7 linked regions of the Neurospora crassa OR74A genome follow. The protein of the gene in region 1 interacts with the protein of each later gene in a biochemical or structural test. Links are inferred from orthologs where the notes say so. Each region holds a gene or a part of one and is shown in the gene's direction. Other genes may lie near its edges. The genes, in order: NCU01907, NCU06708, NCU02706, NCU04252, NCU03889, NCU01741 and NCU05959.

The links.
Region 2: the proteins of NCU01907 (region 1) and NCU06708 form a complex in vitro, tested with the Saccharomyces cerevisiae proteins (5 studies listed by BioGRID). The link is inferred for Neurospora crassa OR74A from reciprocal best matches to the Saccharomyces cerevisiae genes SED5 and SEC22.
Region 3: the proteins of NCU01907 (region 1) and NCU02706 form a complex in vitro, tested with the Saccharomyces cerevisiae proteins (2 studies listed by BioGRID). The link is inferred for Neurospora crassa OR74A from reciprocal best matches to the Saccharomyces cerevisiae genes SED5 and GOS1.
Region 4: the proteins of NCU01907 (region 1) and NCU04252 form a complex in vitro, tested with the Saccharomyces cerevisiae proteins (7 studies listed by BioGRID, with this or other methods). The link is inferred for Neurospora crassa OR74A from reciprocal best matches to the Saccharomyces cerevisiae genes SED5 and SLY1.
Region 5: the proteins of NCU01907 (region 1) and NCU03889 form a complex in vitro, tested with the Saccharomyces cerevisiae proteins (2 studies listed by BioGRID). The link is inferred for Neurospora crassa OR74A from reciprocal best matches to the Saccharomyces cerevisiae genes SED5 and SFT1.
Region 6: the proteins of NCU01907 (region 1) and NCU01741 form a complex in vitro, tested with the Saccharomyces cerevisiae proteins (4 studies listed by BioGRID). The link is inferred for Neurospora crassa OR74A from reciprocal best matches to the Saccharomyces cerevisiae genes SED5 and BET1.
Region 7: the proteins of NCU01907 (region 1) and NCU05959 form a complex in vitro, tested with the Saccharomyces cerevisiae proteins (2 studies listed by BioGRID). The link is inferred for Neurospora crassa OR74A from reciprocal best matches to the Saccharomyces cerevisiae genes SED5 and VTI1.

The regions. Positions count from the first base shown.
Region 1 is NC_026501.1:2,073,864-2,077,918, forward strand, and holds NCU01907 (syntaxin 5), read left to right. Parts: upstream 1-1,255; 5' UTR 1,256-1,786; coding exon 1,787-2,065; intron 2,066-2,135; coding exon 2,136-2,665; intron 2,666-2,720; coding exon 2,721-2,826; intron 2,827-2,894; coding exon 2,895-2,933; 3' UTR 2,934-3,564; intron 3,565-3,709; 3' UTR 3,710-3,972; downstream 3,973-4,055. UniProt on the Saccharomyces cerevisiae protein: Required for vesicular transport between the endoplasmic reticulum and the Golgi complex. Acts as a target organelle soluble NSF attachment protein receptor (t-SNARE).
Region 2 is NC_026505.1:4,348,019-4,351,175, forward strand, and holds NCU06708 (protein transporter sec22), read left to right. Parts: upstream 1-1,350; 5' UTR 1,351-1,512; coding exon 1,513-1,546; intron 1,547-1,663; coding exon 1,664-2,283; 3' UTR 2,284-2,657; downstream 2,658-3,157. Other genes in the region: NCU06707 (uncharacterized protein), read right to left, coding at 1-227; NCU06709 (hypothetical protein), read right to left, coding at 2,917-3,157. UniProt on the Saccharomyces cerevisiae protein: Nonessential SNARE involved in targeting and fusion of ER-derived transport vesicles with the Golgi complex as well as Golgi-derived retrograde transport vesicles with the ER.
Region 3 is NC_026501.1:3,263,831-3,267,226, reverse strand, and holds NCU02706 (protein transporter GOS1), read left to right. Parts: upstream 1-1,371; 5' UTR 1,372-1,690; coding exon 1,691-1,762; intron 1,763-1,827; coding exon 1,828-1,941; intron 1,942-2,010; coding exon 2,011-2,508; 3' UTR 2,509-2,896; downstream 2,897-3,396. Other genes in the region: NCU02707 (60S ribosomal protein L6), read left to right, coding at 1-258, 319-471; NCU02705 (F1F0 ATP synthase assembly protein Atp10), read right to left, coding at 3,135-3,396. UniProt on the Saccharomyces cerevisiae protein: Involved in transport from the ER to the Golgi apparatus as well as in intra-Golgi transport. It belongs to a super-family of proteins called t-SNAREs or soluble NSF (N-ethylmaleimide-sensitive factor) attachment protein receptor.
Region 4 is NC_026505.1:5,366,441-5,370,654, reverse strand, and holds the start of NCU04252 (SNARE docking complex subunit), read left to right. Parts: upstream 1-1,414; 5' UTR 1,415-1,806; coding exon 1,807-1,849; intron 1,850-1,926; coding exon 1,927-2,900; intron 2,901-2,958; coding exon 2,959-3,416; intron 3,417-3,482; coding exon 3,483-4,137; 3' UTR 4,138-4,214. UniProt on the Saccharomyces cerevisiae protein: Able to suppress the functional loss of YPT1. SLY1 is essential for cell viability. May interact indirectly, or directly with YPT1.
Region 5 is NC_026506.1:2,053,271-2,057,399, forward strand, and holds NCU03889 (SNARE), read left to right. Parts: upstream 1-1,329; 5' UTR 1,330-1,937; coding exon 1,938-2,072; intron 2,073-2,138; coding exon 2,139-2,300; 3' UTR 2,301-3,440; downstream 3,441-4,129. Other genes in the region: NCU03888 (DUF500 and SH3 domain-containing protein), read right to left, coding at 1-326, 385-488, 587-623; NCU03890 (stromal membrane-associated protein), read right to left, coding at 3,441-4,129. UniProt on the Saccharomyces cerevisiae protein: Vesicle SNARE required for retrograde transport within the Golgi complex.
Region 6 is NC_026502.1:2,582,606-2,586,416, reverse strand, and holds NCU01741 (SNARE complex subunit), read left to right. Parts: upstream 1-1,346; 5' UTR 1,347-1,561; coding exon 1,562-1,575; intron 1,576-2,183; coding exon 2,184-2,508; intron 2,509-2,606; coding exon 2,607-2,813; 3' UTR 2,814-3,311; downstream 3,312-3,811. Other genes in the region: NCU01740 (histone H2A.Z-specific chaperone chz-1), read left to right, coding at 1-54; NCU01742 (hypothetical protein), read right to left, coding at 3,655-3,811. UniProt on the Saccharomyces cerevisiae protein: SNARE required for targeting and fusion of ER-derived transport vesicles with the Golgi complex.
Region 7 is NC_026506.1:3,311,437-3,314,691, reverse strand, and holds NCU05959 (vesicle transport V-SNARE protein VTI1), read left to right. Parts: upstream 1-1,189; 5' UTR 1,190-1,506; coding exon 1,507-1,906; intron 1,907-1,982; coding exon 1,983-2,181; intron 2,182-2,257; coding exon 2,258-2,345; 3' UTR 2,346-2,755; downstream 2,756-3,255. UniProt on the Saccharomyces cerevisiae protein: t-SNARE found in various SNARE complexes involved in multiple transport pathways. The composition of the t-SNARE complexes is specific for a limited number of v-SNAREs and therefore allows only the vesicles carrying the matching v-SNARE to fuse.

The DNA.
Region 1 (4,055 bases):
TGGACTTGCGCTGGCAGTTGACCAGATGACACTGCATCCATTCATGCTCCCTGCTCTTTCCTCTCGTTGTTGAAGATTATGGTCCGGGACCGCGGCAGGGATCAGCAGCCCAGGGCAGCATTGGAACGTCAGGCGGACGTGGGGCGAGCTTTAATGAGACAGGCTATTAGACTCTCCACTCTGTAAGGCACTAACTGAATGCCACCGCACTCGGCCGCGGATGCAGTTAGAGAAACCTGTGGCTCTACATTTTCGGAATATGTAAGGTATTCGTAGACCTCTTGGGTAGAGGTAGGTGAGGTGAAGCCGAAGGGAAGCTTCTTTTAGGTTTACGAACTCACTACACAAGGGGAAAGTACTGATAATTTGCATTCAATTCTTTAGTCAAGTATAGGTATCTGGAGAGAGAGGCCTTCACGGCGACGCTTCTACGGGGCATTCAGGCCTCAGCAAACCACATAACTCGCCAGGAAAGGGGGGAAAATCCCATTTGAATGAGAATTAGAAGTGCTGCAAGTTGTTTGGTTTTGTGAAGCCCTAGTTCAAAGGCAGTCACAATGGCTCTAGAAATGATACCCCGGATTTCATCCGTTTTTAGAGTATCTACTTAGAGGTAATTCTTAGCTACCTACTTTGGTTGCGCCTCGATCGATGCTAATGGCGTTCCACCCTTGCTGGCGCTGCAGTGACAGGCCTTGAGTTTCTGGTACCGCTCAGCTCCAAGCGCCCGGCCTGACGTTCATTCATGTACTAGAGGTAGTACCCCAAATCCATGGGCCGCAGTGGGTCAGAAACGCAGTAACCCAGAGGCCAGGGGCATTCAACGAAGCGTCTTCCCATTCTGACAGACGTGACCCCATCATGTAAAAATGACATACCTCTAGTCACATCTCACACCTTTGGCTCGGATAACCAGAAATTCATCTCCCATTCTTGGGCTTTTGGGTCTGAGTGTGGGGGCAACCATACTATTCCAAAGAGTGGCAAAAAAATACAATGTGAAAGAACATTGAGTTGCAGTGCCGAGGTGTTATCGACTTCAAGGTTGATCGGGAAGTTGATTCTTTAAAAAGACTGGGCTGATGTCCAATCAAATGTACTACTAGCGAGTCTAGCTTAACTGAATGCTTAACAACAGTGTCTTGGTCAGTCAGCTTTGGATTTTTGCACTGTGAGCTTTTCTTACTCAACTGCAGGGGCCGAGCCACACACTGCAGCGTCACGGGCCCTCCTGAAACTATGTAAGTAAAGTAACCACGTTTTCCCTTTATCGAACTCCCGTCGCTGATGACAACAACGGAGGAGCTTGTTCAACCTCGACGACCACGACACCAACCATTTGACTCGACGACGGCGACGACCACGACCACGACGACGAACTTATAACACCGCCACTCATTCATACGTCATCGCGAGTCCATCGTGTAGCGCCTTTCATAAATACGACCTTCAATCAACACACCCACGACCAGCCGCCGACCTCCTCGCCAGTCGCGAATTAGCCTCGCTCCCGCCGCATCCCCCGGATCCGCCCATTTCCACTTTGCCAATCCATAATCTCCTCCGCAAACTCGCAGCCTACGAGTCGCATTCGCCCCCGGTCACGATTGACAAAGTTGACGACGTCTCGATTCCTGACTTACGAACTCCGACGTGTTATTGATTACGACTTAACCGCGTGCCGGTTGCTCAGGGGTACACGCGCCCCTCTACGACCCATTCCCCGCGATTAGCTGTTGGAAACGGACGGACTACCGCCTCAGCATATACCGATACACCTCTAATTATGGCTGTCTTTGCCATCAACGACCGAACGGAAGAGTTCCGACAGATTGTTGCGGCTGCCCAGCGTAGGCAGGCCACAAAGCCAGGAAAGCAGCGACTTCTGGACACCGCTCAACAACATGCTGCCAGCAGCGATGCCCAGCCCAGAAGGTCTGAGTTTGCGAGGGGGGCTGCAGAGATTGGAAGGGGTATCTCTGCGACAATGGCCAAGCTGGAAAAGCTAGCACAGCTGGCCAAGAAGAAGACTCTTTTCGATGACAGGCCGGTCGAAATCAACGAGGTAAGCTGGGTCATGCGCTTGATCTTTGCGCGCCTCGACTCCATAACTGGCTGGCTAACCATTATGTTAGTTGACCTTTGTCATCAAGCAAGACCTGTCTTCGTTGAACGAGAAGATCAGGAACCTGCAAGATCTCTCTAGACGTCTGCACCCGAAGCCCGACCAAGAAGGGGAGAACAACAAAAACATTCTCCTGCTCCTACAGGGCAAGCTGGGAGATGTTGGTGCTAATTTCAAGGACGTGCTCGAAATCAGAACCAAGAACATTCAGGCGTCGCGGTCGAGGACCGAGAACTTTGTCTCGTCAGTAGGTCAGCACGCACATGCTTCCTTGCAACAATCTGCGTCACCTCTGTACGGCACGCCTAGTAGGGGAACGCCAGCACCAGGGCAGCAAGATCTGATCTCGCTGAACCCGATGGGAGATCAGCAGATGCAGCTCCAGATGTTGGAGGAAGGCCAAAACACCTACGTCCAACAACGAGGGCAAGCGATCGAGGCCATCGAGTCGACTATCAATGAGCTGGGTTCCATTTTTGGGCAGCTCGCGGCCATGGTCAGCGAACAATCTGAGATGATACAAAGAATTGATGCCAACACGTAGGTTTGTCTCGAGACGCTCGACACACCAGCACTGTACTAACACACCATGCAGAGAGGACGTGGTAGAGAACGTCGAAGGCGCGCAAAAAGAACTGCTCAAATATTGGAGCCGTGTTTCAAGTAATAGATGGCTCTTAGCCAAGATGTTTGGTGTTTTGGTAAGCCCAGTATTCCTGCTCTGTTACCTATGCCCTGCATAAAACTCTAACGCTGTGCGACTTTGTAGATGATTTTCTTCCTTCTCTGGGTATTAATTGCCGGGTAGACGGCAGTTGTGGCGGCGTTTCAGTAATATTATACTTCTTCTTTATAATGCATGCAGAGGCGTCTCTTGTAGACTTTATGCATTAATTATACAATTTCTCTTCCTCATGAAGATGCGGTTCTTTTTTTGCATGCGCTCTTCCATGTCCTTTCACTGTTCCACAACATAACCTCTTGCAAGGCTGATAGAGCTCAGGTATACCTCTGGATGGTCGGTGGGGGCATTTGATTATTTATACCTACTTGCCGAGGAAGTTGGCTTCAGCATAGGGATCAAGACTCAAAGTTCGCTCTCGGTTCATCTAAGGTCAACAAATACTTAACCGACGGAATTCGCTTACGCTAAATGCCACCAATAGAGGAACAGGTTTAGACTAAGCACTCCACGCCCCCAGTTCCTGCAACTGTAATCATTTCAGTTCCACTCAGCTTCGGTACCTGGAACTAATGCTCTCCGCTCGAGCCCCAGAAAGAAACCCAGAGCAAGCGAACACGACGGATCCACTCGGCCACTCACTGTTACCACTATCTATAGTAGAGCGGACCGACACCACAGCAAGGTCTCATTCCGACAGAGGGGCAATCGTTCCGCCGAGGCCCTTGTTAGATTCAGCCAAGTTTCGCGGGGTAAGGTGAGAGGATGCCATCCGTTCCATTGACCGGATGTTTGTTGCTGGGGCTATCTTTGGCGAGGTTGTCGATATCCCACCTTCGAAGTACTGTCTGATATCTTAACGAAACGCCGAATGCCATCGAGTACTGACTAAACACGAAAAGACAGAAGCCCCGAGTGCCGTATTTCTGGACGCCTCAAACCCAAGTTCACGATGTTCGAGTTACACAATGGCGTGTCGATGTTCCGTTGTTACTTCCATCCACGCTGTCCATGAATAATTACAGTCGGAATTTCAGGTCTCATGATTACCTAGTCAGGTACAGACAACATGAAGAAAAAGAATCATTACAAACATGTAGCTTTCTCGGAATCGATAACACCATAACTATCCCCCACGCTCTAACGCCGATTGCCATTTAGCCGAATGTCCAGTGTGGCTCAAACCCTGGACAACCTTCTCCTCGAACGTAACTTGATATAACTGGTCAATCCTCCTCTGTCTTTCCT
Region 2 (3,157 bases), on another chromosome or scaffold:
TCGACTGCTGGTTCCTCGACTGCTGGTTCCTCGACTGCTGGTTCCTCAACTGCTGGTTCCTCGACCGTTGACTTTTCGGCTGCTATCTCCTCCAAAGTCACCTGCGCAGCAGTATCAATCTTTTGGACAAGGATAGCATCCCAGTCCCCACTCACGCTCCGGGGAGGTGAGGCCGGAGGAGAAGAGAGGACGGAGGACAGCGGAGAACTACTTCCTTCTTCAGCCATCCTTCAGGACACCTTCAGTTAGTCGCCTTTCTGGAAAGATAATTATTGCGTGTTGAAGTTGTTCAAGGAGTGATCGAACGCGGCAGTGTGGGTTTGCCGGCAAAGGAAAAATTACCGTCAAGTCAGATCTGGATCTAGACAGATCCGGAACTACTTAGTTGTTGTGATATTAAACAATACCAGATAGCAGAAACTGGCAGAATGGCGCCGTGAAAGTCACCGTTTGTCTTTCGTAAGTCAATGATGGTTCATGCGGCCAATATGGCTGTGGTTACATCTGCGAACAAACTGATGTCTGGTGGAAGGGAGGGGAGAAAGTGGGGGGTTTATAAAAGTAGAGAATGAGATGCGTTCAGGTGAAAATGTGGTCAACGAAACGAACCGAAGTGGTACTACCTTGAGTACAAGTTGACGCGCAAGGTTGGGAGGATGTGCGAGGGAACGAGGTGGAACTGAACTTGATCTAACCACCACTCTGAACTGGGAGGGGGATTATACTGACTGTGATGAATGATAGGTACCTCTAGGTAAGTAGGTAGATATTCCACCTCCAGCTCCCCTTCCCCGATGTTGTTCGGTTGAAGATGCTCCTTCTTCAAGTCGTTGTGTGATGGACAGGATGGGTGGGGATGGAAGCTGAAAGGCGCCAAGCCCGGGCAGCCACTTGCATGACACACCCCGGAAGCTAGAGGTAGCTTGTACATACTGCATAGTAGGCGTGAATAGCGGGCCGGGCGAGACTGCCTGCTCGCACTATTTAACTACCTAAACAAAACTAACTTGCAGGCCCTGCAGGGTGAACTTTCAACACATTTCCAGCGGCAGTACCGTCATCAGTGTCCCGTTTGACGACTTGTAATCCTTGATAAGGAAACACACGTTGGCCTGGCGAAATCATTGCATCACTCTACCTACGGGTAATGTTTTGTTTTCTTTATATAGCCATGTAAAGAAAAAAAAAAAACAAGAAAGAGGATAGCGAATTACAATCTGGTCTGCTGGTCGACAGGGAAAGAAGCATGCAATTGAACAAGAGAATTCGTCGGTGCGAGTTGGTTGCGGTACCTAGGTAGAAGCCACGTACCTGGCTGCTTTTGACGGATCACTCCCACTCGTCATCACAAGCTTTTATAAACCTTGCCTTGTTCACTGTCCTCTCCAACGACACCAACTTAACAAATCCAAGCACGCAACTGAACTGGCCTTGATTTCGAGTTGCACAACGATACTAAAGGTCGCCAAAAACAACACAATGAAAAAGGAGTGATATAACCTATTCTTCACAATGATCCGCTCAACACAAATTGCACGGCTGGATGGTTCGTGCCCCCCCCCCCCCCCCCCCTAACTAACCCCCTCGACCAACATCTGTGTGCCTATGGAGATGTCAATGTCTTGTCCGGTAGCTAACCAAGACCCCTCCCCTCAAAACACAGGCCTCATGCTCTGCGCTTCCGTCGACGACGAAGCAACTGAATCCTCCCTCAGCGAAGTCAAGTCCCAAGTCAAACTAATTCTGCGCCGCCTAACGCGCACCTCGGAACCGCAAGCCAGCATCGAGAGCGGCTCTCTCTACACGCTGCACTACCTGATTCAGTCCGACATCGTATACTTCGCCATTACGGACCGGTCGTACCCGCGCAAGCTAGCCTTCACCTACCTTTCCGACATTGCGGGCGAGTTCGCGACGACGCACACCCCGGCACAGCTCATGAACCCGACGCTGCGGCCCTATGCCTTTATGGACTTTGACAGCTTCATCAGCCGCACCAAGGCGACTTACAGCGACACGCGTGCGACTCAGAACCTGGATAAGCTGCATGATGAGCTTAGGGACGTGACCAAAGTCATGACCAAGAACATTGAGGATCTGCTGTACCGCGGCGACAGCCTGGAGCGCATGGGCGAGCTGAGCAGTAGGCTGAGGGACGATAGCAAGAAGTACAAGAGGGCGGCTGTTAAGATCAACTGGGATTTGCTGCTGAAGCAGTACGGCCCCTTTGCGGCGGTCGGTTCCATTATCATCTTCTTCTTGTGGTGGAGATTCTTCTTTTGAGTGCATCCCAGGCAGGGAGCATCACCGGTAGCGGGTTAGCATGATACCGTCGGGTGGGTTTCCTCAGTCAGCCTGGCTCTGTATGATGCTGTGACGGATAGCCTACGTGGATTCTGTAATTATTTTAATATGTGTTTGTAGGGCATTGGTTTTTGGCGCTTGACCTAGCATGGAGTTTGGGTAAAGGAGGTTGGGGGGAAAGGGGGGCAAACGCAAAAGGACGTTTGGCCAGGTGAGGTTTCAGCTATCAAGACATGTTGCTTATAGGTTCCTGCTTTCCACTCCTTCATCCGATGCCTTCCTAAAGCCTGACAAGGTCTCTATGGATGACTGTACCACAGTGTCACCGATGCTCAATCATGCGTATCTCCTGGTTCATTCCAGACCGGCATCTCTTCTGCTCGACACGCTATTTCTGTCAAGCGATGATACAAAATCTCCATCTGAGATAGCCTATCGGTCTCTTTCCCTACTTGAAGTAGAAGCTCTTGCCCCCCCAAACTCCAATTCCAAACCCGTTTTTTTTTTTTTTTCTTTTTTTCAATTTTGTTGTTCTCAATCCAGAACATAAACCGACACCCTGGACACTAAGCCCAAGCTTGAACCACCCGCACACGCACCCGCAAGCCTCAATCACATAATCAAACAACTCCCCGCCGCCTTTGGCAATAACGCCGGTATACTCGGCACCGGCAACGCCGTATGATACCATTCCAAATGCTCCTGGAAGCTGGCCAAGTCCTCGAACCCCCTCTCGTCCTGTGCCCACTTGACCTCGTCCTCGCTGTCCTCACCCTGGTCCACGTACGTGTATTCGTCGCAGTAGGGACACCATATCCTCGCCAGCCAATCGCCAGGGACGGGGGCAATGTGG
Region 3 (3,396 bases), about 1.2 Mb from region 1:
TTCCGTGGCAAGCGCGTCGTCCTCCTCAAGGCTCTCGACCAGGGTGTTCTTCTCGTCACCGGCCCTTTCAAGATCAACGGTGTTCCCCTCCGTCGCGTCAACGCCCGCTACGTCATCGCCACTTCCCAGAAGGTCGATCTCGCTGGCATCGACGAGGCCAAGATCAACGAGATCGCTCAGCCCAAGTACTTCACCGCCGAGAAGTCCAAGGAGAAGGCTGGTGAGGAGGCTTTCTTCAAGCAGGGCGAGAAGCCCCAGGTACGACTTGGGAATTCCGAGCTGGAACACGGGGCGCACAATGCTGACATAGTGATGCAGAAGAAGGAGGTTTCCAGCAGCCGCGTTGCCGACCAGAAGGCCATCGACAAGGCCCTCATCGCCAACATCAAGAAGGTCGAGTTCCTCGCCAGCTACCTCGCCTCTTCTTTCACCCTCCGCAAGGGTGACAAGCCCCACGAGATGAAGTGGTAGATTGTGGGCATGGGTGCTAGGGGACTGCATGCGGGTGCGGTTCGCGGTATGGCTCGGTCAGTTGCATTTGGACGTTGACGGTTCTCGGGTCCATTACGGCGTCTGTTATGAGGGTTTACAGTCATCAGGATGGTAAAATACGGCTTTCGGTTTGCAGAGGATACGGGTCACGAGCGAAACTCGAGGCATTGGGGACGCCCCATGACAATGTACAGGGGGCTCGTGAAGGCACTCGACTCTCGCAGAGAGCCTGTTCCTCCTGGTATCGCACCAAACCATGCGATTAGGGATCCGTCCAAAGAGCGGAAGATCAATACCTACAGATGCTATTTACTGCGCCTACCGCATACTCGACCATTGATATCCTTCGTGCGTTCTATGTGCGAAACTGCGTCTCTCATTGCGTCGGTGTATGTCTGCGAATCACACGTATTCAGTGAACAGCTACGACGACTGTATGGTGAGTCTTTGCGATTTATCAGCACTTTACAAAGCCCGTGTAAACATGGCTTGGCCCTTCTGTCATATGTCTTTCAACAATAGCTGAGGTATCTTCGCTCGCATGTCTATATGTGTGCTGATTAATCGTGTCCGCCGCGTCCAACAACTTCAGTGTCATCAACCGTGATGGTTATGAACTCGCGCCAACGTTCACGGCCGCAGTTGATGTCTACCACTGTTCAGACGGGAGAACGGTACGGTCCGCAGATATCTCGCGTGATAGTAGTTGTATGAACCTTGATGTCATGCTTGGCCTAGACTCTTGAGATGTGCATCAGCTGCCAGTGCCGAGGCGCTGACACCTGGCATAAGGTGACATGGAATGTATCGTCGGGTCCCCTACGTGGTGAAGCCCTATCTTCAGCTCTGTCGTTCTGCAGCAGCTCAGCTGAAGAGTCGACCCAGGCCGCTACGGTACAGTGGACATGTAACTGTGGCGCCTGCCGATACGTAACTGAACTTCTTCCACTAACAAAGCCACATCTCTGCCGTGCAAGCATCAATCATCATCATCACGACCATTTACGTCTGATCTAGGATCCTCCACCGGTTGACCTGTCCTGATCAACCTTACCACTACTATTACAGACAATTTTATAAATTCAAACCACATCATATTCTCCTCCCGCCAAGAGTGCCGCCTTCAGGCAACTCGGACGAATCGCATCCGTTGAAATTCATCGATCTTGCCCCAATAGCTTAGGAGCAGCACTGCATCATGGCGGCGACAACATCCTCAACCCAGGGCTGGGCCCAGTTACGACAACAAGCCCGATCGCTCGAAACACAAGTACGACTGAACTGGTCATGGGCCTTGGGAAATGGGAAGGGCATGAGACTAACATTTTCTTACAGACCGAAATGCTCCTCCACACATACGCCCAGTTCTCGAACCAGACCAACATCCCACCGAAGCCGACAGAAGAGGAAAGGCATACGGAAACGAGACTACGGGAGCTATTGGACAAAGTAAGTTTTTAGAGGTCAAGTAAAACTGTTTACATAAATTCGAACACTGCTAATACATGGTCTTTTCAGCGCGAGTCCGTAATCTCCCACCTCACCCGCCTCCTAACCTCGGACCCCTCCCCCTCAGCGCTCAAGCAGAACAACCTCTCCCTTCTGCGCGACAAGCTCTCGGACCACCGGCGGGACCTCTCCCGATTGCGGTCGACGCTCGAGTCGGCCCGCACGCGTGCCAACCTGCTAGGCAGCGTGCGCGACGACATCTCGGCATACCGCGCCGCCAACCCTGAGCAAGGCGAGGCCGACTACATGCTGGACGAGCGAGGCAGGCTGGACCGCAGCCACGATGTGGCCGACAGCGTGCTGAGCCAGGCGTACGCGGTGCAGGACTCATTCGCGTCCCAGCGAGAGCGGCTGGCGCACATCAACCGGCGAATTACTCTTGCGGCGAGCCAGGTGCCCGGAATCAATACCCTGATCACGAGGATATCGGCGAGGAAGAGACGGGATGGCATTATTATGGGCTCATTCATTGCGTTCTGCTTCTTGATGTTCTGGTTCTTCTCCTGAGTGGCGGTGGTGAACGAAGTGGGAGAGCGCTTCACGAACATGAGAGAGCGGAGAAATTCTGCTCAAGGACGGTTATGCGGCTCACTTCTTGTTGAGCGCATGCTATGGATCTTTGGAAGCGCGACAGGATCGCATCTTCCAGGAACCCTTATCGTAAGCGGCTGTACATGACACACTACTTCAGTGTCGGGCTTTCGTACTTTGACGGGAAGCATGGCGGGGATTACGGCGTTCAGGGGCGTTGCGAGGCAAGTAAGTGTGAAAGTGATTTTACAAAATAATAATATAATTTACAAACCCAAGAAGAAGTCCACGGCATTCTTGCTGGTTAAACCATGGCTCGTGGACGCATCTGCTGTAGACCAGACCAGAACAGACCAGAATTTCCCCGTTCGTCCGTGGTATTTTGAAATGCGCCCATCTCAGCCCCCGATGAGCCGACTTGCTTGCTCGTAAGCTCAATTAGCTTCTTCCCTGTAGCAGGAATTCGATGCTCAGAAACCTTGAGCTTGGCGAGCCTTGCTTTTCTGTTCCAGCAAAAGCTCTGTGACACGTCAGCTGGGCAATGGAGACTTTGTCACCCATATCATCTCAATGCATCTTTACGCCTAGGCATTCCGGGTCGCCTATTGCGCCGCAACAGACCCTTCTGCCTTCAACTCAGGGACAGCCGCTGTCTTCCGCACATAGTTCTTCCCAACACCCTCCTTGGTCATCTCGTCCAAAATCCTCTGGACGCCCTTGATCAGGCCCTCCTTCTCATCTCCCTCCGCATCACCACTGCCCGCCCATCGAATTCGGCAGTTATGATCCACCAGATACGTGTAGCCAACCTTGCTGTTTAGCAAACCAATTGACTCCCGAATCTCGTCCGTAATCCCCTTTGTG
Region 4 (4,214 bases), on another chromosome or scaffold:
GCGTCCGCAAACTCGTCACGAATCTCCCCCACGCGTGCGCGGAAGACAACAGCGATGAGATTATCGCAGTTCGCTACAGCATTTCCTCTCTATCCCGGGTTAAAGAATGGAGAGGTCCCGACCTTGAACTCAGCTGAGCAGGCAGGTAACGAAATTAATCTTCAAAAGCCAGGGCCGCAGGTCGATCGGACGACTGCAGCTGCCAGGGAAAGAGACGACTTCCGAATGACGGTCGCGCAAGCAGAAAAACGCCCGAGACGTCAAGAAAACCTGCGCGTTTAAATCGCCTCTACAGCTTTGCCAGAACAGGGAAAAGATGTACGAAGAAAAGGACGCGACTATCAAGTACGACGATGGGCGATGCGACAAGGCGACCAAGGGCGACAAGTTGGTCGTCGAAGAAAGGAGAGATGCTGCTGATGTCAGGTCAGGGTGACGACGGGAGTTGAAAGGAAAAAAGTTGAACGTGAGCAGCGGTCGCGCAAATCAGGTGCGTTCCGCCGTTCATAAAAAGGGACTGACGCTTTGCGACTGGGCAAGCGGGTGCATGAGTGCAGTGGGCAGGCGCTTTCTCAACGAGTTTGCCAGTGACGGGAGTGCATTGACTGGCTGGCACGCTAGCGCTCACGGGCCGCCGACGCTCGTTGGCACTGGCGGATCACGGGCCTTTCTCCAAAAATGGCCCAGGCACGCAACGAAGTGGAAGTCAGCACACGTGTAGCAAGAGCTTCTGTGGTCAGTGCGCGTGGCAAGTGAAGGTGGAAGTGCCCCTGGGAAGTTGGATTTCTGTATGTAGCACGCTGGCACGATACCTGGAACCAAAGAGGAACCGGCCGTTTGTTGGGTTTTGGGTGGGTCCGCGCCAGCTGGGGGCAGGAATCAGTGGGAAATTGCAGCAGTGTTTGTACCTTACCATTTAATCGCTACTTCTACCTACCTCTAGACAGGCAGACAGGTTATGGCAGGAGCAGACATACTGAAAATACCTAGAGGTACGTACCAACCTACCTCTAGGGAAGGTATTTCTCTGGACCTTGAAGTTGTCCATCATACCTCTACACTTCTACGGATATAGGAAAATCGAGAGCAAATAAGACGGACGACATGGTAAATTGTCAGCGATGACACGCACGGGCTCAATCATCCATTCCTGGAACAGTCAAAGGTAAACGCCACAGAGACAGGAAGATGTCACAACTTGCTGGTTGCGGTGTCAATCGAACATTGGAGGACGATAACGGAATCCTCGTCATACCTCTACTGTGGGGGAAAGCTCTCAGCTCAGGGCGGCACCTCCTGTAAGTGGAGGTTAGCGGATATAGAAGGGAAGGGGTAAACAGTCCACTGGGAGACAAAGGCCACTGGTCCAAGCCGAGGGAGAGATGTCAGGTACCTTGCGGACCAGAGAAGACAACATACCTCCAGAAGTAGGTACCCAAGGTAGCTTCAACGGAGATATTCTGTTTCCTCACGTCAGCTTTCTGTATACCTAGGTACTATTGAACACGTAAGGATCTTCTGGACTCAGTACTGTAACATCTTAACACGTTTGCTCTTTCGTCTTTAAAAAGTTGCGGCTCTCTTTCAAAGTTTGCGAAAAGGCCAACGACTCGAGGCCAGCCTAGCGATAATTCGGTTCAAGGGACGCGATCACAAGCCGCCCCACCACTGTGACAGCGAGACGGGAGCTACTACCTTCCCTTCCACTTGCCTCAACAGCCTACAGTATTCTACAGCACCTCGGCCCCGAGTCCTCCTCCACGAACTTCCTGCCGACCAGCATAGCAATCACTTTAATACACAGACATGGCGCCAACACCAGGGAACTCTCTGCGCGACAAGCAGATCTGTATGTCCCACTGCCTTCCTATCCCCAAGGGTCACAATGCCAGACAGTCTTGCGGTGGACTGACACATGCTCTCTAGTGTCTATCAAGAAGCTCCTGAACCTCAACCAACCCCTCGAACCGACCGACGGCGACGACTCGAATGGCTTCCAATCCGCTTCCGCCCCCTTGCTAAAGGACATTCCCACGTGGAAGATCTTGGTCTTTGACGAGCTTGGTCGCAATGTCATCAGCCCAGTACTCCAGGTTTCGGATCTGCGATCCATGGGCGTCACGCTACACGTTTCCATCGCGGCCAACAGGCAACCGATTCCTGATGTCGATGCCATCTACCTTATCGAACCGAACGCCAAGAACCTCCAGCAAATCACCAATGATCTTCAGAAGAACCTCTATAACTCTGCCAGCATCAACTTCCTCTCCTCGGTACCACGGCCACTGTTGGAGGACTTTGCGGCGCAAACCGCTGTCGCCGGCACATCGGAGAAGATTGCCCAGATATTCGACCAGTACCTCAACTTTATCGTTCCCGAGCCGGATTTGTTCAGTCTGGGCATGCAGAAGGAGCATACATACTGGGCGTTGAATAGCGCAAAGACACAAGATGAGGAGTTGGACAGAGTTATCGACAGGATCGTCAGCGGCCTGTTTAGCGTGGTGGTGACACTAGGCGTCATTCCCATTATTCGCTGCCCCAGGGGTGCTGCTGCTGAGATGGTTGCAACGAAATTGGACCGAAAACTTCGCGATCATATTCTCAACTCCAAGGACAACCTCTTTTCGGCACACAGGGCAGCCGCTTCCAGCACTGGAACGCCAAAGCCCCTGCTCGTTATCATGGACCGTAATATTGACCTAATTCCCATGCTGTCCCACTCGTGGACCTACCAGAGTTTATGCGCCGACGTCTTTGGTTTGTCGGAATCGAACCGGATCACAATCGAGAGCCCCGTGGACTCCAATAACCCGGCCAAGGGCACCAACAAGAAGACGTATGATTTGGCTGCCGATGATTTCTTCTGGGCCAAGAACTCATGCCTGCCGTTCCCTCAGGTAAGCTGGAAGTGCAGACGGGACATCCTGAGGATGGTCTACTAACCAGGATGCTTAGGTTGCCGAGGACATCGACATTGAACTCACGAAATACAAGGAGGAGGCGGATGCTCTCACCAAGAAGACTGGCGTTAGGGATTTGGACCATTTCGAACAAGACTCGAGTGCAAGTGCTCAGCATCTAAAAGCAGCTGTTACACTCTTGCCCGAACTGCGCGCAAGAAAAGCCACTTTGGATATGCACATGAACATCCTTGCTGCTATCCTTGGCGAGATTCAAAGCCGACAGTTGGATAACTACTTCCAACTGGAGGAGAACGTGTTCAAGCAAACCAAGGCGCAAGTGCTGGATCAGATCAAGACGGCGGACAAGGGCAAGCCTGAGGATTACCTGCGTCTCTTTGTGATCTGGTACCTCAGCACGGAACAGGATGTGTCTCGTCAGGAATGGACGCAATTTGAGGAGGCACTCGCGGCCAAGGGCTGCGACACAACGTGCCTCTCTTACATTAAGCAGTACGTGCTACCCCCCTTTTTTTTCTTGGGCTTTTTCAGCCATTTCTGACTAACAATACCACACAGAGTCCGCGCCACGACCAAAATGACACAACTCACCACGGTAAATAATCCTTCATCCTCCAACCAGCAACAATCCGGGTCCTCGGACCTTTTCAACCGCTTCTCCGCCATCTCCAGCCGTCTCACCGACCGCCTCAAGGAGACGGGCGTGCCCACGGGCGCTCTCTCCAATAACGTGGCCTCTCTCTTGGGTGGCATCAAGAACTTCCTCCCCGAAGACCGCGACCTCACGGTAACCAAGATCACCGAGTCCCTCATGGACCCATCGGCCGCCAGCTCCTCGGCCATCGCCAAGACGGAACACTACCTCTACTTCGACCCGCGCAGCGCCAACGCGCGCGGCACCATGCCCCAGCCGTCGGCCATGCGGGCCCAAGGGAGCGGGTCATCCCTGGGCGGGCCCGGTGGCTTGCCAGGATCAAGTGGCCCGGGCCAAACGGCCAGTTTCGGGCAACGCAGACAGGGGTTCTCGGAGGCGATTGTGTTCATGGTTGGCGGTGCGAGCACGGCCGAATACAGCAATTTGCAGGAGTGGGCGGCGAGAACGACGACGGGAGATCGTGCGAAGAGGAGGGTGATTTATGGTGGTACGGAGTTGCTTAATGCTGGCAGCTTTATCAAGGAGGAGTTGGAGAGGTTGGGTAAGGAGGTTTCGTAGATTGATGGCCAAAGATGAAGGGGAAGAGTGAGGGGTGGAAGTGAGGAGCTGCTATATATCAGATTATAATTACTTTA
Region 5 (4,129 bases), on another chromosome or scaffold:
TAACTGAAGATGCCCGCTACGCTTCTCAGCGAAGCGGCTCCGGCGGCCTCGGCATTTCTACCGACAGGCCCGGCCGCGACCGAAACGTTACCACCAAGTGTAAGTGACCCAGCTTGGGCGAAGGTTTTTACGGCGCTCGCGTCGTTGAGAATGAAAACGAAATCTGTAAGCTCGAAACCGATCTGACCGCCGAAGCCGGCACCACCCGTAGCAATGGCGGTGGGGGCAGACCAGCTGCCGTCGGGGAGGCGGGCGACTACCAGGCCGCTACCGAAACGGGCAGATCCGAGGAAACCAGCTTTGATGACGGTGAGTATAGCAAGACCCTAGGAGAACGTTAACCACCTGGTCGCTTTCGTTGAGGTTGCGGATGCTGTTTCGTACCTTGGCATTCGCGAGCACTGATGGCGGTATCACCTTGTCGGGACCAAAGGCTTGTTTGGGCTCGATGAAGGAGGCGAGGATTTTACCGCACTTCTTACATTCCGCTGGTTACAGACGTGTTAGGATGTCGGATTCGGCGAAGCGAAGGGGAGTTGCGGGGTCGGGCTCGCACAGCACGGGAACCCCGGGGACACAAACTCACACGAAAGTGACGACGGAAGAGGGTTGTTGATACCCATCTTGAAGTGTCGAAGCGGAACTCCCTATAGCGGACTGGCGCGGGTCTTGAAGGGCGAGGGCGTGTAGAGCGGCTGCGGTGAGAATGCCGTGGAAATGCGACAGCGACAGCGAAATATTAGAAAGAAAGAAAGAGATGGAGTTCGTCAGTCATTTCTCGGGACACTGGCCGATCAATGCCTGCAGGCACACTGGCAGGCAAGCAAGTAAGCAGATCAGCCCGGTCAATTTCTTGTGTACATAGTAAATGCGAGGTTGGTACCTGGGCGTCCCCACAACGGCGGTTTGTCAAGATGCTGGGGAGATCCTTGGGGTCACTTGTTGTTCGTGATGAACGATCTTGTTCCCGGAGGATAAGCCTTTGTGCGTGCTCTTTTGTTGGTGTAACTGTCCGTTTGAGAGTTTGTTTTTTTCCCTCTTCTTCACAGATCGGAGTAACTGATGAGCGAGGCTAAACAGTGGCATGGAATTCATCACAGTCAACATTTGAAATGGAAGTACTTGGAAATGGAAGCTGGAGCTCGTGCCGCGCGTCATGTGAGAACTGTAGCACTGGACCCTCAATCACTGGAGACGCTGGGATGGGCTTGGGCAAGCACTGCCGCCGTGGGCTGTGCAGTAGCGTACACTACTGTACCTCTACTTCTCTACTTTACTCCGTCCCTGCGCCCTGCACCTTCCACTTTGAATACCCGGGCCTTGTCCAGCGGGCAGAGCAGAGCGGGCGTTCGTCGTTACGTAGGTGACTGACTGACGGGACCCAAAGTTGCAGTGGCCCGACCACGAGCACAATCAAATGGCTCCAGCAGGCTCCGCTCCCCCCGAAAAAGACCCCGCATTGACCATGCATGTGCTTTACGCGCAGCCACACGTAAATGGCCGAAACTGACATCATTCGCGACTAGGAGGCCGTAGCTGTGGCTGGTGTATGCATCAACAAGCTGCAGTGAGCCGGCCGCCCCCATCATGATGGATGCATGATCCCGGTGTCCTTTCATTGTGACCCTGAACTGAGTGCATCTGGAACCTGCTACAACCTACCCCCTTTTGACATCCCCATAGCACTCAGCAATACCTAGGAACACCACGGCTTCACTCCGAACAACGGACGCTGCAAGACACCGAAGCCGACCCCCGCGCGCGCGACAAAATAACACGTAATAACATCTTCGATAATACGAAACTCGGGCCATATCAGCGAGTTCCAATTAACCCGATACTCAAAACTGACGAGTGAACCTCCCACACGGCCGCTGAGCGAGTCGCAACATACAACTACGACCACAACACAACCCCCCCCCATTACCATTATCAAGATGTCCGCAAACTACGAGCGCGAGCGCCAAAATAATGCGCGCCTCGACGAGCTAGCCTCCAAGGTTTCTGCCCTTCGAGGTGTAACGATTGACATTTACGACCAGGCGCGCAACCACGAAGTTATCGACCAAACGGTACGGTTCCTTTGATTTTACTCTGCACAAAATAACAAACTGACAAGTCCCACCAACAACGAACAGACCGATACCTTCTCCTCCATGGGCTCTCAACTCAAAGGTTCCGCCACCCGTCTAGGCCGCATGGCCGCATCGGGGAACAAGGTCGCCATTCTCAAGCTCTCGGGTATTCTTATTGGGAGCTTCCTGGTCATTTACTATCTTTATCGACTTTTTGTTGGTTAAATGATTCAAAAAGTCACGACGTGTGAGAGGGCTAAAGTCGTTTGAATATTGGGTCTATTGGGTCTATTGAACTTCGACATGCGAATACATGCCAGGAAGCAAAAGGAAGGGAGGTTCTCTTCATCGGGTTCACTACAACAACACAGGGCGAAGGATGTAGAGGGCGGCACGATTCGATTCCCGACAAATATCAGGAATGATAAGACGGATGCGTGCGAAGCCGGACATCAAGACAGGATGGAGCTTGTCCGGATAGCTTGTTGGATGTTGGAGTGCTGGTACAGGCGATGTGCAGTCCGCTTGCTCCCACAAAAGCCGCTACTAGTATTGCGCAGAGGAGGTGCAATGTAGGGTGGGGCAATGGGTGGGAGGGTAGCAGGTCACGCAGGACCGTAGGTCTGTGTTTTGGTGGATTCTGAACGAAGTGTGGATTTTGGTTTACAGACTGGGCTTAATGTTTTGTCTCGACAACAGACGGGTAGATGCAAAGGCATAGCAATGGCGTTGACGGTTCGGTTTTGTTTGTTTATTTGGGATTTGGTTTCTGCGTACCTTAGGTTGTCATTGATACGTCGTGTCGTATAAGCCAGACATCGACATTTCTCAGTCTCATCCTTGATTTTTCATTTTGAAACTTCAAGGACATCAGAAGGACATTAATGAGGGCAACACACACCTTACAAAAGATAGGAGGATCCTATATAAAAGTGCATTACTTTTGCCCTACCAACGAACAATAACTTGTTGTCTATAATGTAAATATGCCAAAACAAAACATGACTTGCTGATGTAAGAATGACTGCGTTGTTCATCATTCCCCTATTTGTCACGCATAAACCATCATTTGCCTAACTCTTAACTAGATCAGACTCCCACAGCATAAGTACGACATGGTGTTCGTGGATAGCATCCCCTTTCCAGTCAGGTGGTATAGAAGGAAAAACAAGTTCGGACGCTTGATGGGTTTGGTTTGGTTTGGTATAAGTTTGTCCGAGCTATTTCTCACATCACCTGCCGGTTGATTATATATTTACATGGTCGGCATCAGGCGCGAGGACAACAGCAAAAATCCCAGTAGACTGCACTCGGTTACCTCTGAACCCCATGTCGGAGATCCCTGAATTGTCGTTCTAAGGTTTCTTATTGCCAGACGTTTGAGAACAGGTCGTCACTGCCACCAAAACCGGTAGCCGGCTTGGATCCGCTCGGAGCAGCTGGTGTGGTAGTGCTGCTCATCCAGCCCCCAAACTCCTCATCGGCCGCCACCTTTGGTGCTGGGGCAAAGCCGCCCGAAGCGCTGGGGACAATAGGTTGGCTTGCGAAGGAGCCGCCGGTAGTGGAGGAGGTGGTGGTGCTGTTGCCCCATCCAAAATCGTTAGAAAGAGGGATAGAGGTAACAGGTGCTGGCTTGGGCGGTTCAGGAGCCGCAGGCTTGGGGGGCTCAGGGGCGGAGGCCCACTCGTTGGAACCCCATACACCTGCATCTGACCAGGCGTTAGACGTCGCAATAGAGGCAAGAGGGTTTGGTGTTGTTGAAGTAACGGCTGCAGGGGCCGGCGTGGTTGCGGCGGGCTTGGAAAGGTTGAATGCGGAGCTGAAGTCAGATGAAGGCTTCGGGGCGGCGGCCGAGGGAGGAGCGGTAGTAGCAGTAGCTGTTGTGGAAAAGTCAAACAGGTCACCGAGGGCGGAGGAAGCGGGCGCGGGCTTAGAGGCTGGCGCAGGAGGAGGGGTTGATGAGAAGCCCAGTGGGCTGCTGATGGACTGCTTGGATTGGTGGGAGGATGTGGCGGGCTTGGAATCGAAGAAGCTGCCACCGCTTAGGCCGGAAA
Region 6 (3,811 bases), on another chromosome or scaffold:
GATGAGGAGGACGACGAGGAGTTTGTGCCCGAGGATGAGGAAATGGAGGAGTAGTCCGAGGCTATCTTCTGATTTCCTTTGATGGTTCACAACAACAACAACAACAACAACAATGACAACAGATTCTTGTTTTCTTTCTTCCTGGGTTTCCCCGTTGGCTCTGCGCTTTGCTCGCTGCCAGTGGTTGAGTTTTATGATGATCACGAGCTTGGAGATGTAAGCCGTCTTTTGGCTGATTGCTAAGCCTGATTGGCTGGACCTATTTATGTACGTGAATGTCAGCTATAAGGCCTGGGGTTGTTTGGTTCAATGCGTTGGGAGTTCCCACAATCAGAATTTGGCAATACATGATAAGGGTGTAAGTGATCATTCGTTTATCAGTTCAGGTAGACCGATCTCTTCTGTCAGCCAATTTCAAAGTATCAACATACTACGTACGTTGGTGTATCAGAATACGCTTGATCGCTTGTCTTCACTAACCTAACCCCCATAAGTGGAGACATTGGATGATTCCCCTGTCAGCTCAAGGGCAGTTGGCCTGTTGAGATGGGGTGCCACTAAACTAACCGCGAGGCAGCCTGAAGGGGGTGATATGTCTACGGCTGACCTATGAAAAGGTAATATTCCGGCGAATTCTAGAGTTGCTATGACCATCGAGATTTGATATCGGTCCTGTTCCTGGAGTACACAGCAGACGTCAGGAACCGGAGCATCGCACCAGCCACCAACAAGGTTCGCGATCTTGGCCTGATCCACCGGGTATTCTACGCAGTACCATACACCAGCTTCTTTGACGCCAACATCTGTGAGAATGCATGCCTTCGACTTGGAAAGCTTCAACGATTCTGAAAGTCTCGGATTTGGGCTTAGATTCGCTTCAATAAGTCCATACTTGAGTCTATGCGCCTTGCGCAATCTAACGTGGATCAACTTATTGCTGACGCGACAAGCTGAGAGAGAAAAAAAAAAAAAAAAAAAAAAAAAAAAAGGTAGAGGAAGAATGGAGACGCTGAACGCCCAATTAGCCAATATCAGTGGAAGCAACACGGGCACCTCTCGGAGGGACTTTGAACAACGCCGAACATGAACCCTCCGACATAAAGAAAAATTGAATGATTAAAACCAGATACATTGGGGAAAATAGTGTCAAGTTCTCTCGGAGAGGAAGACGTGACACCAACCCAGATGTTCAATCAACGTGTCCTTGTCAGCATCATGCGGCACGAACAACATTGTACCTTTTAGCCATTACATATGTATCACCCAGACACGGACTGACGTTGTAGTTTATGTACATGGACGGCGCACCAAGGTAACATCTGGCCAGAACAGGCCTAACAACCACCCAAACTAAAAAGGGGGATCTGCCGGCGCTGGCGGCCAAGGGTCCACGGGCATTCAACTTTATTTTCTTTCTTCACCACCCGCACACCCCCCGCCCGACGCTACCTCTATGGAACCTGCCAATTCATCATCTCTAATACCTACCCACACTCTTACAAGTTAGCTAGCATTTACCTGTCAGGATTCTCGAAGACGGATCGACCTAAATTTGCTCTCCATGATGGCTTCCAGGTGAGTGCGATTCTCTTGTACGTTCGTCTTAGCATTGCACCACACCACACGCAAATGCCACCTTTCACATTTCGAAATGCGACTTGGCCTGTCAACTCGACCAAACCCACGACCGACACGCGATGAAGCGAGCGGCCGACCGAGCTGCCCGGCTCCGGTGAACGGGTGTACGATATTGCCACCGGAAGATATCTGCGGACCAAAGGCAGCAGCTATCGATGTTATGGTGGTTGGTTTGACAAGTCACGATTTCTCGACCTGCCCCCCCTGGTCATGGCGCGACGGCCTCAACTACGTCATCGCTCTGGTTTCAGAGTCTCGCCAACACGCCTCCAACCATGCCATGGTAGGATACGATACGAGTTCACTACCGTGATGTGATGCAGTCGCAACAGCGGCGCAACCACAGCAGCACTGGCGACGAGAGCGAGAATGACAGCGAAACCGAAAGCGTCAACTCGATCCATCCACCATGCCCCCGGGTCGTCCTCGATTCGACTTTGACCACCCACCACAACCCCCATCCCACCAACCCCTTAATCCTTCGAACAAGACAAGACAACACCCTTCTAACAATTAGTCCGCTTTTCTTTTTCTCCGGAGTACAGATTTGCACATTCCTCTCTACACCAGCGCGACCCGCGCAGCGACCTTTTCAAGGGCTACTCTGGCTCCAGCGCAGCCGAGCGCCGCTCGGCCAACGCCAGCCCAGCAAGGTATGGCGGTGGCGGCGGATACGGGTACGGGGGCGGCTATGGTGGCGGTGGGAGTTATAACGGCAGCTCGTCAACACTGGGGATGGAACGGGGCGGGTTTAGGCCTGCTACTCCAAATTCAAGGGGCCAGTACAGCGACGCAGTCCTCAACGAACTCGAGAGCCAGAATGATGAGCAGGTGGAAGGGATAATGGGTAAAGTCAAGATTTTGAAGGATGTATGTTTTTGTTCTCTCTTTCTGCTCTCCTCCCTCTCTCCCACTTCCTTCTCTCGCAAGCCACCCATCAACTAACCCCATCCCTCCCCCACAAACAGATGACTATAGCCATCGGCGATGAAATTCGAGACTCCTCCGCCCTCGCCGAGAAGATGAACGAATCCTTCGACCAAACCCGCCTCCGACTCCGTGGTACCATGAACCGAATGCTCATCATGGCACAGAAGACCAATGTCGGGTGGAGGGTGTGGCTTGCCTTTTTCGCTGCCGTGGTGTTCCTCTTTTTTTACGTGAGGTATCTCTAGTATCCTTCCAAGGTCAAGGTTTTTCTGAACTTGGAAGAGAGAAAAAGAAAGAAAAGAAAAAGACAAAGATGGAGGGATATGTTGGTCGGCGGAGTGGTCCTCCTGCTGCTGCTGCTGCTGCTGCTGCTGCTGCGCGGGGCAAAGCGATATGTTCAAGAATGATGGAAACGAGAAAAGAGACCATATATATGCAAAGGAAAGATGGGATAGTATATATATGGCTTTAACGATGGGTAATACCAATGGATGATGAGGAAAACGGAAGGTTCTAGGTCAAAGTGGCTGACTACCTTGTGGGATAGAAAAGGCATGGATATGGGTTGCCCTTGGTAGATTGCGGGCGGACTTGGTTTTTGCATGCTGGCGCCGGGGAGTTCGCGTTTGTTAAGTCGTTCGGGTAGTATCAGAAGTCGGTTTTTTTTGGTTTTTTTGTGGTACCTAATTATTTTAATCATTCTTAATCCGTTCTCCAACCAATGAGGTTCAATTATCTGGTTTAATCCACTGATCAATCATGAAGCTATATATGGGCTCCCACAAACGTGAAGTGGATAATCATTGAGCGTATAACAGACAGTTAATCAGAACTGCGTGTAGACTACCACTGCATAGACCAGACCATTGCTGTAACGAAGATCAAAGTTGTCTTTTGACGGACATTATCTATTCAATCCTGCTTCCCAAGCCACCAAGTAGCTACCCATACTGCCATGATCCCAAGACTCCATGCGCCAGACTCAAACGACCTGTTATTGAATGATGCTTGCTGACCGTTCCTACCACAACTCCTCAGTTTTAATCCTCCCTTGTTTCTCTTTCCGAACCACCGCGGACCTTCATTCTAGTGCAACCTCCTCACCCTTGGACTGCTTCTCATCATGGGACTACTCTCATCAACAGACAACAGCCCACTGATATCCAGACTGCTCCTTGGCGCTCCAATTGTGCTCCGCCTGGCATTTCCCGCAAGACTAGTCCTCAACAGCCGCTGCTGCTGC
Region 7 (3,255 bases), on another chromosome or scaffold:
CGGTGAGTCGCTGAAATCGGCCGCCGATGTGTCAAAACCGTCGGACGTTGGCGTGGGCTTTTTCCTTCGGCGGCGGCGGCGGCGGTACGTAACTCGATCCTGGTGAATGTCGCCAACACTCTCCACTAGCCAAGCGATGATGTATTCCAGCGAATCCTATGGCGTGCCGAGAGTGGATCAGCCTGACAAACCTTCGAATGAAGAACCTCGCAGCGAATTCTCGAATTGTGACCGGGGTCGCTGATTTGTCCGTTGGTGATGGATGTTTTGTGGTGGAGGTTTAGTCAGACGGGTCGGTATCGCTGGGCTGAAGCCTGGTGTTGCTGGACGACGAGCAACAGAGAGAGTGTATGAGTGCGTGTATGTGTGTAAGTAAGTGTGTGCCACGAGGCCGGACCAGATGGCCATGAGCAGTCCTGGTGTTTTGATGTCGGCGACGAAATCCGAATGTCATAGCTGACATATATATGATTTAACAGAAGGTGCAAATCTCGTGGCAATGTCGAGCAGCTACCTACTATTTGCGCCGCAAAACAACATTGCCGACCAATCCGACCCGACTGCCAGGAGAACATTTTCCCAAAGCATCGGTGGCGACAGACTACAAACCCAAAAAAGACTTGGAAAATTCAAGACACCAACCAGAAACAAAAGGCTGGCAATGTGTCCATTTTCTGGGGAAACCAGCCAAGGTTCGCGTCAAGCAGCCGTGACAGTGTCTAGGCAGTGTACACTATATTATCTTAGCATGTCTTGGGACGTGGCCGTTGACTGGACCTTCTAAGCGATATGTCCCCCAAAACAGTTCCCTTCCCTAGGTCGTCATCGGTCTCAATTCGTTGCTGGCTGGTGAAAGGTCAACTCAGTCATACAAAGAAACCAATTGAAGAGTTTCAAGACGCCAAAGTCCCCGGCAGTCCCAGGCGGGGTTGATACGTTCAACTGGACACGGTCCGTGTAAGTTACACTTTGCAAACAATACATACAGCGCTTGCGTACACGTACTGCAACAACACTGCAATACATGCGGCAACGCCAAGCATGTGTACGTCACCCGCCTAGGCTGCAACTGTAACCACTGTAACTGTATGTAACAAGCGGAATGTCATGTGCCCATGCTGGTCCGTGCCCACAGCTGCTGTCGTCTCCCGCCTGCGGCCTGCCTGCCTTTCAGTTCGCTTGTCAGGCTGCTGAGACGACCGCAACGACTAACGGGGCTCGAAGCACACTGGTGTCGCTGGCGACAGACAACATTCGACGACGACCACTACTCCTTGCGATCAGACCAACCACACGCCAGCCCAACCACATCTCGTCCAACGCGACCGCATCAACGACGCCCCTCTTTGGCATGATTAATGACGAATCTGAATAATTGAGAATAACGATACCCGCCGATAAACGAGCATCACCCCGATACGGCCAGCCCGACGACAGCACCCCCACACCTGCCCCGAACCCCAACCTCCACATCCGATAGCAACACATAACTCCATTGAATCCAAGATGGCCAACATTCTCGACAGCGAAGCCGGCACAGAGCTCTTCAAGCATTATGAGACGGAATACCAGCTGGTCCAGGCCGACCTGGTCCAGAAGCTCGACCAAATCTCGGAGCTGACGGGCGAGCCCAGGAAAGCCGCCCTCAGCACGGCCGAGCGCGCCCTGGAGGAGGCCGGCGAGCTGCTGGACCAGATGAACATGGAGAAGCAGAACGTGCCCAGCTCGTCGCGGACCGCCATCAACAAGCGACTGCGCGACTACCGAAGCGACGTGGACAAGTATCGTCGCAAGCTGCAGACGCTGGCGACGGACCGCAGCGCCCTGTTCGGCGGCAGATACACCGATAACCCGGGCTCTTCGAGTGGCGATAGGCATTTTGAGCAGAGGCAGCAGCTGCTATCTGGTGGGTGGTGGACAGAAGCACCTTATACATGGCAAGAAGAAACGGAATGCTGACTATTTCCCCCGAAACGTAAAAGGCACCGACCGGCTCGATCGGAGCACACAACGCCTCAAGGCCAGTCAGGCGCTGGCCGCCGAGACAGAGGCTATTGGCGCCAGCACCCTGGCCGACCTGCACCGCCAACGCGAAGTCATTGAGCACACCACCACGATACTATACGAGAGTGAAGGCTATGTGGACCGAAGTGTCAAGACACTAAAGGGCATGGCACGCAGGTACCACCCTCCCCTTTTGTCCCAATGCGAATCATGATGATTAGGTAATACTGACCACTTGCGCCTTTACCATTAGGATGGCTACGAATCGGATAATCACCATTGCGATCATCACCGTGCTGGTCCTCCTTATCATTGCGGTTATCGTTAGCAAGTTCAGGTGATTGTGTCGAGAGAGCTGAGCGAATCCATAAAGAAGCAATACAACATCAGGTAGAACAGGCAGGGGTGTTCAGTGACATCACGATATATACGAACAGGTGGTGGATGGTTTGGACTGTACCGATGGAGCGTTTGTTATAACAGAGACATGTTCCAGTTCCATGTTTTTCGTATCGTAGGGATGGTATCGTACGGGGGGTTGTATTTTTACACAGACGGCGTCACAAAGGGAGGTGGTTTCGAAATTTAGACGTATTTCTTTCTCATGACCATACGGCGGCCTTGCTTCCATGGACGTTCCGACATCCGACAGGGGAAAACGGCTCGCCATGTCCACCACAACTCGCCGCCACATGGGTAGCGGATCGTTCTCTATGATTTCAAATGATTCTCCTCTGAGACATAGTATCCCTGACTTTGGTCGGTGTTGACCGGGGCCTTGGTTAAAACAAATTTTCTGTTGGCCACTGTTGTTTGAATGATTTGCGTTCACCACACCTCTGCTGGGATGTGACTTGGTAGCTTGGTAGTTCTACAAGAAACAGAGAGCGAGCCTTCGACAAAGTCGCTATTTCTTGTGCCCAAATTAAGCTTCTTTGCCACCCTGAAGAACCGTGGTGTACTGTGTATATCCCAGCAAGAACTGTGTCTTGGTAACTCATGTACACTACAGGCCTATTACAAATGAGTAGACTAAGAAATTTTCCATGTGATGGAAACACGCATCACTGCAAATCACGTCAAGTCATCTTCTTCGAGATACTTTCGTTGTTGTTAACATTTGCATATAACCCCACTTTCACAGATACGCAGTACATAACGGACCCTCAGACCTTCCACAGCTCCAGTTGAACTTTAGGCGGTGAAAAAAAAGAAGTCCACCGGACTGATGTTCCGCAGCTCAAGCTGCAG